Alligator mississippiensis: one gene and its partner. The protein of the gene in region 1 interacts with the protein of each later gene in a pairwise test. Links are inferred from orthologs where the notes say so. Each region holds a gene or a part of one and is shown in the gene's direction. Other genes may lie near its edges.

Region 1 (6,943 bases):
ACTATTAAGCTCCGTGGATGGATTTACTGAAGGAGCTTCAGCTAATGGGTCACTAGCCTGGGCTGCAGCCTGATGTTGAACCGGTTGTTGCTGATGTGGGAGTCCCAGGAGAGCAGGGTTCGAACAAAGGTCAAGGATATCCTCTGCTGGCTCCGGTGGTGGGGGCGCCCCGGGCAATGCTGGATACATCGGAGCGGTGGCCAGCGTGTAATTTGGGGGAGCAGCCAATTTCTCCCGAACAGCTTTTAACTGCTGTTTTAATTTTTCTTGAGAGTCTTTTAGGCTCCTAGTTTGAGATTCTGTCCGCCTTTTGGACATTTCATCATACCAATAAAAGAACGCGTCCCACTGGTTTTGTGGTGTTTTGGATCCACGGGACTCTAACGCCCCTCTCAAGTGCACTATTTTATCCTGATCAAATGTTCCTTCCTGTGGAAAATGTTTCACAGGATCATCCCTAGTATACCAGTTCCACTTATTCAAGTACTTGCAAGTCACGGGAGAATAGTGTGTGTACATAAAGTACGCCGGAGTCCCCTTAGGGGGGACAGGAACCTGTTTAGACTGACTTGTTCCCATTTTCAGTCACACAGGGAGATGTAGGAGAGGCTTATTTAGGATGTCCGGGCCGCTCAGTGCCTTGCCCCGCAGTTTTTCACTGCCCAGACAAAAGGCTTCTGACCCGACACCGGCTCATAAAATGGAAATGGGGAGGGAAACACTAGAGGGATCCTTTCACTCCTGCTTTCGGCAGAAGCTACTGGGACGAGGGGTTTGGAAAAGACAAAATCACTCAGACGCCCTGTCCACTGGGTCACGAGGTTCCAGTTGGGCCCCCTTGCTTTCAAAACTGCCCTGTCAGGCAGAATTGGGGCGGCTGAGCCCAACCGTAGTCTCAGTCCTGGTCAGTGGCTCATATTTCTAAATACACACACACATGCACATTTATTCAGTCAGCCAGACCTCCTACCCCACACCGCCTTAGTTAATTAACTACAAGCCCGATGTGCTGTTGGATGAAGGTGCCTCAAACAGTTTCTCCCTAAAACGTACGTTACCAGACACAAAATGGGATCCTTTACCAGACAGAAAATTTTAGCCGGCAGTAAGGTTCAGACTGACCTGTTTTAACAAGGTTCAGATCCAGTTATCACGGCCAAGTTGGGAGCCTACAGGCAGTCCTCCTCCGAAACCCCAATAGAGATTTTGAATTAGGTCTCTTACCTCTCAAGTTTGGCGCCTCAGGGTTCGGGGGGGGGTAGCCTGCGGTCCTCCTTCCTCAGCCTGTGTTCTGGATCCGAGTCACGGCACCAGGAATTGTCGTGGAAACACACACAGAGTACTTTTGGGTCAGGTCAGCAGAAGCTTTTATTCAAAAGAAACTACAGCTGTAGGGGGAGTTCCAAAGTGACATGGATTTCCCAAGCACTTGGAAGGGGTCCCCCCCCCCAAGAGCAAAATCAGGAGGCTTATATACTTTTTAACAGTCGCTTACAACTCACGTGATCATATAGTGAAATTAGCATGAAAAGCGGCTATAATATTACTTCATTATTTCTTTGCTGTTATCAGGATGGGAATTATGGGGGAGATAGGGTTAGTTCACAAACCTCCTTCTTGCACCTGGAAATCTACTTTGTACATACTTTTTTTTTCTACCTTCAAGGCCGCGGTGAGCGAAGCATTTGCAGAAGAGTTACAAAGAACAAACACTTGCCCTTATCTGTTCTACTGTACCGAGCCAGCAATTCTACACAAAGCGGTTATGTCATCTTATAACTAAAATAATCAAAGTTTAAGGCATATATTTTTTCTGATTCCACACTGTCATACAAAGGAAAATCTGATTTGCACACTGAGGCGTAGCAGCCTTGCACACACCTCTTATCATTTGACCTTGAGCTAGGTTTTCTGGAACACAGGATTCAAAAGTTGATTATAATGGATTCAAATAATTTTTTACTGTCATTACACCCTTGTTGGCTAACCATCAGTATGTTTTTAACTAAGCACGTGTCTGTTGCCTAACCTTAGTGTTCTTGACATGTGTGGCGTTTTGCATCAAGGAATGCTTTTTAGAATAACATGTATATGTGTCAAATGACTTAATCTAGTGGAACAGTAACAACAATTTGCATTTAATATTTTAATTGCGCAATTTAGTTCAAAAGTAGTACAGCAAACTGAAGGTATTTATACCAATCACTTCAGTGTAACACAAATGTCACCTGGAATTATGATCTTGTCAAATGTTATCACATAAACTTCAGTGGAATCTGCCAGCATGTAGATAAAAGACCTTCAGGTAAAATGTAGGTGGCCAGAGCCTCAGCTTCTATGCATCAGTCCGACTCCAACAGCATCATCAGAGCAGCGCACACTTGCACTAGCTGTGTGTGAGATCTGATGTGCTTTTGGAAGCATTAGTTTTATCATCAGTGTTGGTGGGGCATTACCATGAGCTTGATCATGCTGTGTTTAGAAGGAGGTGATACACGAGAGTTAGAAGAAACTGAGCTAGAAACTGAAATAACTGAGGGTCATCTTTATATTTCCTTTAGTGTAAAGATGTTTCTAGATGTCTTCAAGGCCCCTATCCCCCACACCTTTTCAGTCTCACTTTTAGTAGGTTATTAGTTCCTTCCACAGCCAAGTTTAAATGCATTTACTATTTCCCTGCTGCCTGTAAATCAATGAATGTTGTCCTTTCTGAGACAGCTGATTCACTATAACTTAGCACACTTACTGTTTTAGTTCAAATCACAAAGGTGTTCCCTTTCATGCCCTGCCCCTGTTTTCTCCATTTTCAAAACCTGGGAAAGTAAGCAAATACATTACAGTGATATTATTAGTGTCCAGTACTCAAGAATGAGAACATCAGTGCAGAAACCATTTTAAGGTATCCGGGTTGCAGCCATATTGGTCTAGAGGCAACAGGTATCAGAACTTATGGTAGAGGAGACATAGTTATTCTAATAAACAAGATTTTTGAAAAAAAAATTCTTTAATTTCAAGCTTTTGGGCACAAGCATGCCTTTTTAGGCACAGGAGAAAAGATTGTAAAAGTTCTTCCAGATAGAAATGAAAGTTCATATTTCATAGAAGAGTTAAAGGTGTGCTAAAATCTCCTGTTTGGCAGTTCATTTTATGCAGGTTAGGCAAAACTATTTTAATTAATTAATTAACAGTACAAAAACCTCCCAGGATCGTGCTACTGCTCTAGAAGGGGCACAGAGCAGGTTTTGCTCCTCTACCATTGCTGTGTGGTAAGGTGAGGTAGCTAGCTACGCTAGCATGAAGTTGAGTACAGCACAGAGCAGGGCAGGCCTTTCAGGCCCAGCAGGTGTTGCATGTATCACAGCACTGACTTGTGAATTGTACAATAAATGTCCTGTGCCACCCATCCAGCTAATTTCCCATGTGATATATTGGGGAGCCAGCTACAAAGATGTTCTTGATTTAATGCAGAGCCAATGAAGTAGCTGGTTGCCTCTGAAAACTTATGCCTCCCCAGAACCAGTCTGTCTTTAACCTGGCAGACATTACTTTAATTATGCAAGGCGGGGGGTGGGCTGAAAGAGGCTTATTGCAGACCCGGACCAGCCACACGTTAGAGACCTTTGTGGCAGGATGCATGGCCCCTGGGATCACTGCTCAGCTCCCTTCACCTGTTTGCTGTGGCCTGGAGCCAGATGAGGACAGCCCAGGCCATGCAAAGCCAACCCCCCCCTTGCACAAGCCGTGAAGAAGGCGCAGCTGCCCTCCTTCCTCCAGGGCTCGGGCCGACGTGTTCCGCGGCCCGCTCCTTACACACTGCGCAATACGGTAAGGCGAGGCCGGGCTCCTCGGAAGACAGGGCCTGGTGCAGCTCGAGGCACGTGGGGCTCTGTTCGCCACGGCGCATGCGCGGTGCCCGGGCTGCGGCCCACGTGACCCGGCGGCGGCGGCGCTGCGTCTGTAGCGGTCGGGTCGGCGGCGCAGAGGGGAGGGGGAGGATCCAATATGGCGTCCATGCAGGTGAGGAGCCTGCGGCGGCGCCGGGCCGGCGGAGCTCCCTGAGGGCTGGCGGTGCCAGCGGTTGGTGGTGCGGGGGTGGAGGTTGCTCCCAGGGGCGCCTTCTGCTCCGCAGGGCCGGGCCGGGCCGGGGGTAGCTGGGAGCGCCCGGTGGGGCGGGGCCCTGCGCGCCGTGGGGGCCCCGCTCCGCTCCCCGTCGGGCTGGGCCGCAGCCCGCTGCCGTGGCGGGTCCTTCTACGGCCCGGGTGCTGACCGCGGAAGCGGCGGCGTCTGCGCGGTGCGGCATTGGCGGGGCTGGGTGGTTCGGTGGCTGCTTCCCACGGCTTCCCCGCCCGTCCCTGTCAGGCGCCGGCCTGCAGCTTCTTGGCTTTCCTTTCCAAAGTCCTCCCTTAACTCTGAAAAGAAATGCCCACCCTTCCTCCTCCCACCTGGAACCATCTTCTCAGTTGGCTGGCTTAGGTTTTCTCAAGGTTGTCTCTACTCCTAATCCTCTGGTCCAGCGAAGCTCCTTCCACATAAAGCCTTGGCCCTGGCTCCTGGGATGCCCCATCCTGGGAGGGAAGTGCAAACCAGACCAGGAGCTGTGCACCTGTGTAGGAGTAACAGGAGCTAAGTGCCCCAACCTTAAACTGGGGATGTTGGGGAAACTGTCCTCAGGTTTTGCTTGTGGAGAGCTCTGCAGGAAAGGGGTAGAAGTCCTCTGGTCTTTTGAGTCATTTCAGATGAAAGGGAGCAGAAAGCTTGAACACGCAGCACAGAATATTCCCGATTTAGCAATGCCCCAAGTAATCCACTAGTCCGAGAGACTCGTCAGTCCTTTGTTTCCAGTTTCTTGAAGAGCTGTGTGAGACCATTCATGTTTGAAGTGTTGGATGATTTTATGCTCGCATTTCTTCAAGCAGCCCAGTTTTGACTAATTGCAAAACAGAATTTTGGGGCAATGATCTGTTTCAAAACCTGGTGCAGATATGGGGAAGTATCGATTGTGAAACTTGGAGGAGGCAGTTTGTGGGACTTGAGATGCTAGAGTTCTGTTTCTTTATGCCTTTTAAATGTCCTTCAGGAGCTTGTTTAACTGTCTTCCCACCCATCACCTTTCTTCCTTTTCTGTAAAAGAGGGATAATAATTAAGGAGCTTAGGGAGATCAACAGGTCAAAAGTTACAGTGCTAGTAGTGTATTTTCGTGAGTAATATGCCCCTTATTATTGGAAGGCACCAAGATGGGGGTAGGGGGGGCAGGAATCTTGCCTTGGAGTACAGGTAAGTACCAGGTATCTGGGGATCTCTGAGGCTGGGACTGGGGCTAGCCCGATCTGACTTGTTGTGCAGTGGGGATGGATTCAGCAAGCCGAAACTGGGACTACTTGGCAGGGCAGGGCTGCAGGTTAAATCCAACCCTGAGCGCTGGCTGTACATGGTGCCAGACTGACCACTCTGGATCTGAAGCCATGTGCTGGGTCCAGGACCATGTGGTGGGTTGGACCTGGTGTACCAATTCCAGCTGTAGGACAACCCTATGCACTGTCCCAGTCCAGCATGTGACTGGGGACAAGGACTCTCCACAGGTTGGGAAATTTGGGGAAGAGTGAAGAGCAGTGGCAATGTTAATTGTAGTGGTTCCCAGAACCAGGGTAATTAATGCTACCACTGCTCCACCCTTTCTCCCCCCCCCCCCCCCCCAAAAAAAACCCCCAAACAAACCAGATTTGTGAGGAGTCCTTTTCCTTGTTAATAATGTACACCCCAATTTTTCCCAGTTGCATTTGGGAAAAAGCTGTGGGTTATATGTGAGAAATTGTGGTAATAAGTCTTCTGGCTAATACCTATTTCTTGAAAATATGGTAGTGAGGAAGTTAGTTCTTTTCTTTTTTAATGTAATAAATACTATTCTCTTGGGCATCTGCATTTATTGATAGTATATTATGGACACTACTCATTTCAGTCTTGTTAAGTGTGGAACCTTTAAAATTCTGGGGAATGTTATAAATGTTTTAGATTCTGTTAATTTTTTTAAAGGGCAATTTGCAAGTCGGAAGGGTATGTTTTGATTTAAAACAGGCTCATAAACTTCAAAATTATTTTATAAGTATAATTTTGATGTGCATGTGTGTCTCCAGGTAGTGCACATCTTCCATTCTGGTCCAGTCTTATTTTGTGGTTCCTTAATAAGCACCTCCTGTGTTTTGAAAGACCTGTGAAAGTGGGGGGAACTGATTATACACAAAGCTTTGTCAGGTATTCAAAGTAAAGAAGAAACTTTCATTGTTTATAATCTTGCAGTTATGGCAGTTAATTCTTGGTGCTGCATGCAACAAAAGTAAATAACTCCTCAAAATGCCTCAGATTTTTTGAGATGGATGCAATTTCCTTGACAAAGCAGGAGCATGCTTATTCACTTTAGACTTCTATTTTATTTGATCTTTGAAACTTTTTATGCAGTATTTTCTGTAAATGTATTTAATATGGACATCATCTCTGTTCCAGTCATTTAAAGGTGATCTCCAAAATAGAAAATATGGGCTTGTGTTTTTTTGTTTTTAATTTTTTGGCATTTTAAGATGTACATGGATGGTCTGAAATATGTTGTTTTTATTTTCCCCCTCTTCGCCTTTTGTTTTTATCCTGATAGTTGGGCTATGTTTGGACAATGAAGGATCTGACATGAAGCTTGGAGAGTGAAACTGGAGTAACTAAAAGCAAACAATAATTAAAAATGACTTTGTGTAGTGACCAGTGTTTTAGGGAGAGGAAAAAGTCTGCTAAAATTCAATAACCCAGTCACTTACCTTAAATTATGAAAGCTACCAGAGATTTTTAAACCCTCAGCACATGCAGCAAAATTAGGGAAGATCAAGAGTTTTGTGAATTAAACACAGAAATATTAGCAATGTTAAAAAAAAAGAAAAAAAGACTCAGGAGGAAATCTTT
Region 2 (7,474 bases), on another chromosome or scaffold:
ATTCTGCCTTGTGGTCAGCTGCATTGCTAGGCCACAGGTCATGCCTTGTATTCAGCTGTAAAGCTAATACTTCTTAATAATCCAAATTATTGTTAACCTAACAGTATGCTATCAGAAAACTATTCTATTTCAGGGTAATAACAAACATGCTCACCATATCTGAAGCCTCTAATCTCTTAACCACCATTTTGATTTGATATTACTACATGTGTCTTTGTCCAAGCAACTGAACAGGAAAGCACAAGAGAAAGGTATTAAACAGAAGAAGAAAAACTAAAAACTATTCAACTGTTTAAGTGCAGTGTCTCAAATAGCCTCCTAAGTGAATGGTACCAGATAGGGAAAGCAATTTTAACAGATATAAAGGCACATAAAGAGCAACTACTACATTTCTCACGGACTTTGTGCAACTAAATTGATTTTTGGGGAGTGCTTTCCAAGGGGATTGGATAACCAAGGTTCTATCATACTGACCATGACCTGCTTATGTGCTCCCATGCACCTTCCAAACCCAAATAAGCACTGGTGAGGCTGTTGTCAAGCATACTACAGAGCAAAGAGGTCTCATGCATTTGAGTAAGAGCAGGTGGGTAGTGTTCCCTCATTGGTGTCCTAGCCAGGATAAATTAACAGTGTTGACACAACTCAAGGGCCTAATTGCTAGCTTATACTCTGACAGAGTATAAATAAAAGTAATTTTAATGTACTTTTGTCCACTTAGGCCTTCAGATTAAATCAGTAAAAGCAGTAAGGAGGACCTGCCCATCTTTTATTTTAACAATTTTAATTTAATGAATATATTAATTATTTTTTTCCAAGTAGAGTTTAAATTCTATTATAAAAGTAAACGGGATTTTTAATTTTCTGTACAAATATAAGTAAGTTTGTTAATTAGTTCAGGCGTTTATCCTTTAGAATCTTAGGAAAGTAGGACTAGAAGCCACTGCACAAGGTCATCTAGTCAAGTCCTCTGTTCAAGGCAGGATTGTCCCTGACTACACCATCCCAGCCAAGTGTCTGTCCAACCTGCTCTTGAAAATGTCCAAGGATGGACATTTCACAAGTTTTCTAGGTGGTGTGTTCCAATGCTTGACCACCCTCACAGTTAGCAACTTCCTCCTAGTCTCCAATCTCAATTTCCCATGCTGAAGTTTGGGGACATTACTCCTAGTCCTCTCCCCTACAGCTACAGAGACAAACCCATTTTCATCCTCTTTATAAGTCACCTTTCAGGTGTTTGTAGAATGTATCAGACTATTATCTGTCCATTATTAAAGACTATTATCAAATAACCCTAGTTCTTTCAGCCTTTCTTCATAAGTCTGGCTTCCCAGGCACCTAATCATTTTTGTTGCTTTGCACTAGATTTTAATCTGTCCACATCCTTCTTACAATGTGGGGCCAAAAACTGGACATAGTACTCCAGGTGAGGCTTCACCAGTGCTGATTAGAGTGGAAGAATCATTGCCCTTGATTTGTAGGTGACACTCCTATTAACACAAATCAGTATTCAGTTTATAGTCCAGTCTAAACTCCAGAACCTTCTTTGCAGTACTGCAGCCTAGCCAGTCACGCCCCAGTCTGTATTTGTGCATGCAATTATTCCATTTCAAGTACAGGACTTGGGATATACCTGCACTTGTCCTTGTTGACTCTCATCCGATTGCTTGAGGGCCATTTGTCCAGTCTATCCAGATAGTACTGGTTCCTAGCCCTACCCAATAAAGTAACTGCAACCCATCCCCATCCCCCCCAACTTGATGTTGTTCACAAATTTGCTAAGCATGTACTCAATCCCATCATCCAATTAATTAATAAAAAGTGGACGTGTAGCAGAAATGGTCCCTGGCCAAAGCAGCCAGCGGTCTTGAATCCAGGCCGATTGGCTTGGGAAGCCAGCAGCCTAAACACAAGGCTAGAGCAACAGGACTTCCTGAAATTTAAAGACATGTTAATAGTTCTTGACTCCTCATTTATATGCAACTTTGCATTCCTATTTGAATCACTAGGTAAATGCTATTCTAAATGTCTTGAGTACAATTATTTTTATACAGTTATGAATTATGTTAACTGTTTCTATTAACGCTAGAGCAGGCAAGGGAAAGAATATTTGTCAAAACAAATGGCAGACAGCCTATAGACCTTCAGCTCTGGCAAGCTCTGCAGAACTCTATAGACTCTTAAAGCCATCTTTACTCAAAATATTAAGGAACTAAATGGGGTAGAGTAGAAGTGTGTTCCTAGAGGAGCCAGTGAATATAAAGTGCTTCACAATACTTTCTGCAATTAATCTGCCTAAGCAGACACTTTTGCATTTCCAGAGTTCTACTGAAGTCAATGGCAGCTGAGCAGGTGCCTAAGTCAAGGTGTTTGAATGCAGTTGCAAAATTAGTGGCTATGCTTGGAGCTGCATTTTTTGTATTTTCTCCCAAACTTGCTGAAGATTAATGAAAGCACAACTTATTTAAAAAAATGCAATAAATTAAACACAGAAAAATATTGAAAACGTTAGAAGAAAACTATCAGATACTTTGGAAAGTACTGGAGACAAATTTATGTACTTAGCACAATTTTCTACCAGTCCTGGCACAGTAGAAAACTATGCATTCAAGTAATTTCCCATGTCCAACAATTTAAATCTTTCATGGCTGTTAATATCTCTTCTAAAAAAAAAGAAGAATGAAACAAACCCTCCTCCATGGAGCATTAATGTAACACCCAAACCGAAGACATAATACAACATTTATCCAAGGCACATCATTTCTACAGAAAGGGACACATTTGAAAGTAACTGAACAGGACTAGAAAAGGTCATGGATATATTCTGTAATCCTTGCAGATCATTCGTCCCATTCACTTCAGTATTGGCTACTGGACACACTAAAACTTTCAACATATGCACATGTGTGTATGTTGGTGATATATACCAAATGGTAATATTAAAATAAAACATGCGAAGGAAGGAATTGATGCTTTTCAAAGTGGGAAGAGGAAGACAACAGTTGTGACCTTGTCTATACTGGAAAAATATGCTGCTTTAGCTAGTATAATACAATTCAGATAGTACAACTCCCTACTTTAGGTGCAGTTATGGTGGTGCAAAGGTGTTTTGCACCGCTATAAAGAAGAATAGAACTATAATGCACCATATACCAATGACACCAATATAACCCCATAATGGTTCTTACCACTAACTATGTCACTAAATTTTATACCCTGGCCATTATACCAATAAAATTTTCAAGCCTAGATGGGGCCTAAACAAAGGAGTATATAATATGGGAAGGAAAAAGGACCAATACAAAAAGGGGAACAATAAATGAAAATACACTTCAGCCGAAGAAAAACACATGTTCAATTTCAAGTATCCAGTTACGGAACAATGTTCTAGCAGTTCAATTAACGCAGGTATCAGACCACATCACAAGACCTCGTTTCTCGGGATGCTTTCCAGCTCCAGCTAATATTTAATATTAAACCACCAGGCAAAGGAAACAAGCCTCTCCCACGGAGAGGAGGCAAGAGTGGGGTGGTGGGAAGTAACCTCTGAAGTTCCCTCAGCCCTTCCTGCGCCTGCCCATCGCTACAGCCAGGGCTGCAGTGCCCAGCACACAACTGTCAGTTTGCTTCAATTGCCCAGAAACAACTGGTATTTCGGTGTCACTGTAGTTGACAAATCGTGAAATATTTTAGTAAACGTCAAGACAGACACCCACCCAGACCACAGCGCCGAAGGAACCAGAGGCTCTTCTAAATCAAGCACGAGTTGCTGGTCGCTCCTCAGGGACCCCCGGAGAGGAGACTCCTCAGTGGGGCGGCGGGGGAAGGGGCTGTCACAGAGACCGTTAACGGCCATAACGGACCCGCTGTCCCGGGACCAGAGGCAGAGACGAGACGAGCCGGGCGCGCACCCTTCGGTACCGGCTCCAGCTCCGCACCCGCCCCGTCTGGGCTCAGCCCCCGTCTCGCCCTTCGCCACAGGCCCGCTCCCCCCACGGCGGGAGCTGCTCGCACCGGCGCGCGCCCCTTGGGGACTGCCCAGGGGTCCCTTCCCCCTCATGTTTCCGAGCGGCCGCGGGGCACGAAGCAAGGTCCCCCCACTCGGGGGAAGCGGCGGCTCCGCTTAACTCCCCCGGGGCGAGGGAGCAGCGAGGGGCTTGGTGCTGACCTTTCCCTCAGCGAACGTGGCCATCCCGCCGCTTCCGTCCCCCTCGGAAGGCGGCGCCTACCTGCCCGCGAGCGGCAGCCGGGACGCCGGCCCCGGGGGCCTTTAAATCCCCTCCGCCGCGGGCGGCGCCAGGACTACATCTCCCAGGGGGCTGCGCGTGCCGCTCAGCAGCGCCGACGCGGGGCGGGGCTGCGCCGCCTGACCTCACAGAGGAGCCAGCCCCGCCCGCCTGTGTGGCGCTGCGCAGCGCAGCTCAGCGCGTGGGGAGCCTGGGCCTGCGCCCGCTGCAGCCACCTCCGGCGCGCTGGGCCCCGTCCCTGTCCCCGTCCGCTGACGGAGGGGCCAACGGGGCGGCGCGGGGAGGAGCCGCTGTCGCTGCTAGGTTCTGGGCCCGGGGCTAGGACGGGCGCTTTGCCCGTGCTGCGGTGGCGGGGCCTGCGCGCCCCCGGCCCTGGGGATGTCGGAGCCGGTGGGCTCGGCGCTGCAGCAGACCATGGACAGGTGCGGGGAATGCGGGGGGAGACCGGACCGGTCGGTGCCGCCGGCCTGGCTCCGGGGGCCGCGGGGCGGAGCGCTGCGGTCCGGGGTCTAGTTTCACTTCCGGCCTCTGCTACTAAGTCTGTTGCTTTAAACACATCGCTTGACCCGCCGATGTCTCCCTTACTGGTCTGTGAAACGGTGGTTACACGACCGCGCAGCCCTCTGGGATGTTGTGAGGCTCAGGAATATTTAATAAGAGAAACAGGGACTTCTGTGCAGGATCTTGTATCAGACCAGCCTCACGGTTGGGGTAGACTTAGATGCGCTTCTGAGGGCTAAGCGTTCTTCTCCATGTCTTCCTCGGCTTCTAAGGTACTTGAGTACAAAGCTGATTGGGGCATTTTGATAGATGTTTTTGGAAGGGGCATAAAGATAAAGGATAATCACTGTTGAGTTAAAGAGGAAATTGCAGGGACTGGAGGCAGGGCAGTAAAGAGTGTGACTAGATATGTTAGAGAATCCTGATGGGAGACAATGGGATTGTGTGTTTTTTGTTGTGTTTTGCTGTAGAAAGTGAGTGAGATGGCCAGTTAAACTTGAAAATGTTACTTTTGTTTACATTTCCAAATCAAATGCATCAGAAAAAAGATTCAGTACTTCCACCCCACCAAGTGAAGGTTGAGAGGTCTAAAGGCATAATTATGAGCCAACAAAGATCTCTTAAAACAGAAAAAGAGCAGAAAGCTGAGCATCTTGATGCTTTAAAAGGCGGGCCAACAAGCCTGAAATCGACATCAGGGAGATGCCATCGGTCTTTCATCACAAGGAATCAAAAAAAGACATGTACACAGTGTTTTTCTTCTTTACAGGTTATCTTTAAGGAGAGTGAATTAGTGAAATACAGGATGTTAATGGTGAATAAGGAAAATTAAACTGTGTGAACAGAGCTCTAGGAAGCACTGAAAGTCACAAAGAAGAATTTAAGTTAGAGATACGCCAATATATTGGTTCGTACCAGATCGGCACCGATAAAGGAAAATCAACATTATCGACAATCAGCTTTTTGGCCCATGTAACAGATAATGTGTCTGATAAATGCTGTGTGCGTGTGTGCAGTCACAGCATACACACGGCCAGGAACGCAGCCTTGCAGCTTGGAAAGCAGCATCCCGCCATTAAATCTGCGGAGAGAAAAGGGGTGTTGGAGTAGGGGCAGACCAAGGCCCCCACAGTGAGGGACGGAGTGGGTCTGGGGCAGGCACTACCCAGCCAGGGCAGGGTGCTGGACAGAGCCACAGGATGGCAGATTGCCCAGGGGGCATGAGGCGGTAGAGAGGGGGCAGCTTCCCATTGCTGCGTGCACCCCCTGATTTGTGCGCGAGGTGAGGGCGGGCTCGGCCAGGGACTACGCTCGGGGAGGTGGGGTGGGTGGCAGTGGCACTGGGAGGGGGAGCTATGGGGGAGCTATAGTCACCCCAAAATTCTCTGTAACCCCCTTCCCAGCACCACCACTGCTTGCCCCAAGCGCAGCTCCAGCACAGCCCTTGGCTCACCAAAACTTGTTAAGTGGCCTGGCAGCTGAAATAATTGCCCACTCTGGCTTTAGAGACAACCTTCTCCTTAGTTTTTTTGGTCATAACTCACTATTAACTTTTGTTGTTGTTGTTGCACTTAGAGGTGCACCGATATATCAGTACCAATCTGATATTGGACTGATATAAAGAAAATTTGCTGTATTGGATATTGGCCCAATGGGGCCAATAATTTGGCAGATAAATGCTCGTGCTGCGCGCAGCCATGAGCAGAGCCCAGCAGCATGGAGAGCTGCCTCCAGCTGGTCAGTCTGTTGTGGTGGAAGGGGGAGGGAAGGAATGTGGTAGGGCAGGGGGCAGAACAATGCCTCCTGCAGTGAGAAAGGGGACAAGCATGGGCAGGTGTTGCTAGGATGGGAGTGGGGGGGGGCTCCCACCGCTGCTTGCACCCCGAGGGGCCCAGATCTGTGCAGGGCAGGGTGGGTTGGCGGGCTGGAGCCGGGGCTGCTTGGGGCTGTTCTTGGCAGGGGCTGGACTCGAAGCGGGTGCAGGGAGGGTGCTGCATCCACCCCAGATTTTGCTGCAGCTCAGGTCACAGTGCTGCTGCCGCCAGCCACTGGTGCTGCCCTGGTCTTCCCAGTGGGTGGATGGAGGCAGGGCACTGAGCCGGAGCAGTGCCGGAGGGCTGGCGGTGGCAGTGCTGGGAGCAGAGCTGTGGTGAAATTTGCGGTGGATGCAGCATCATTCTAGCACAGCTGACTCCCGCTCGGAAACCAGCCCCTGCTGAGAAGAACCCCGTGCAGCCCACCCCTCCTCGTGCAGATCCAGGGGCACACGCCCCCTCCCCTCTCCTCCTCTCCCCACTTGCAGTTCTATCAGTTGAGATGCTCTGTAAAGAAGGGCTCACAGCACTTTGTTTAAAAAATGATTGAAGTGTTGGAAATCTCTACCATATCAGGTGAACTTGACGCGCTAAGTGATTGGGGTACAAGCATTTGAACAAATGCTTGCACACAACCAATTGACTGGGGATGCAAGGGTGCCTTCTAACATCCCAGCATACTGTGCTCACCTCTCCCTTCCCCCCCCCCTGTGGCCCCCCAAAGGGAGGCTCTGTGACCTGGGCTGCACTCTGCTGCTGCAGCCCTAGTGTCAGAAAGCCCTTCCTACTAACAGCTGAGGCACTGGGAAAAAATCCAATGCTTCTCTACAGCCCAGAGGACCTGGAGCTGTCATTTTTCCCCCCCCCCCCCCCCCCCAGTAGTGGTGGGGGAAGCCACCTGCCAGCACTGGA

Evidence for each region.
Region 2: the proteins of UBE2W (region 1) and MARCHF5 interact in binary tests that used the Homo sapiens proteins (3 or more experiments, as listed by UniProt). The link is inferred for Alligator mississippiensis from reciprocal best matches to the Homo sapiens genes UBE2W and MARCHF5.

Annotation. Positions count from the first base shown.
Region 1 is NC_081826.1:58,931,454-58,938,396, forward strand, and holds the start of UBE2W (ubiquitin-conjugating enzyme E2 W), read left to right. Parts: upstream 1-3,908; 5' UTR 3,909-4,002; coding exon 4,003-4,017; intron 4,018-6,943. UniProt on the Homo sapiens protein: Accepts ubiquitin from the E1 complex and catalyzes its covalent attachment to other proteins.
Region 2 is NC_081829.1:70,767,298-70,774,771, reverse strand, and holds the start of MARCHF5 (E3 ubiquitin-protein ligase MARCHF5), read left to right. Parts: upstream 1-4,382; 5' UTR 4,383-4,625; coding exon 4,626-4,669; intron 4,670-7,474. UniProt on the Homo sapiens protein: Mitochondrial E3 ubiquitin-protein ligase that plays a crucial role in the control of mitochondrial morphology by acting as a positive regulator of mitochondrial fission and as an important regulator of immune response.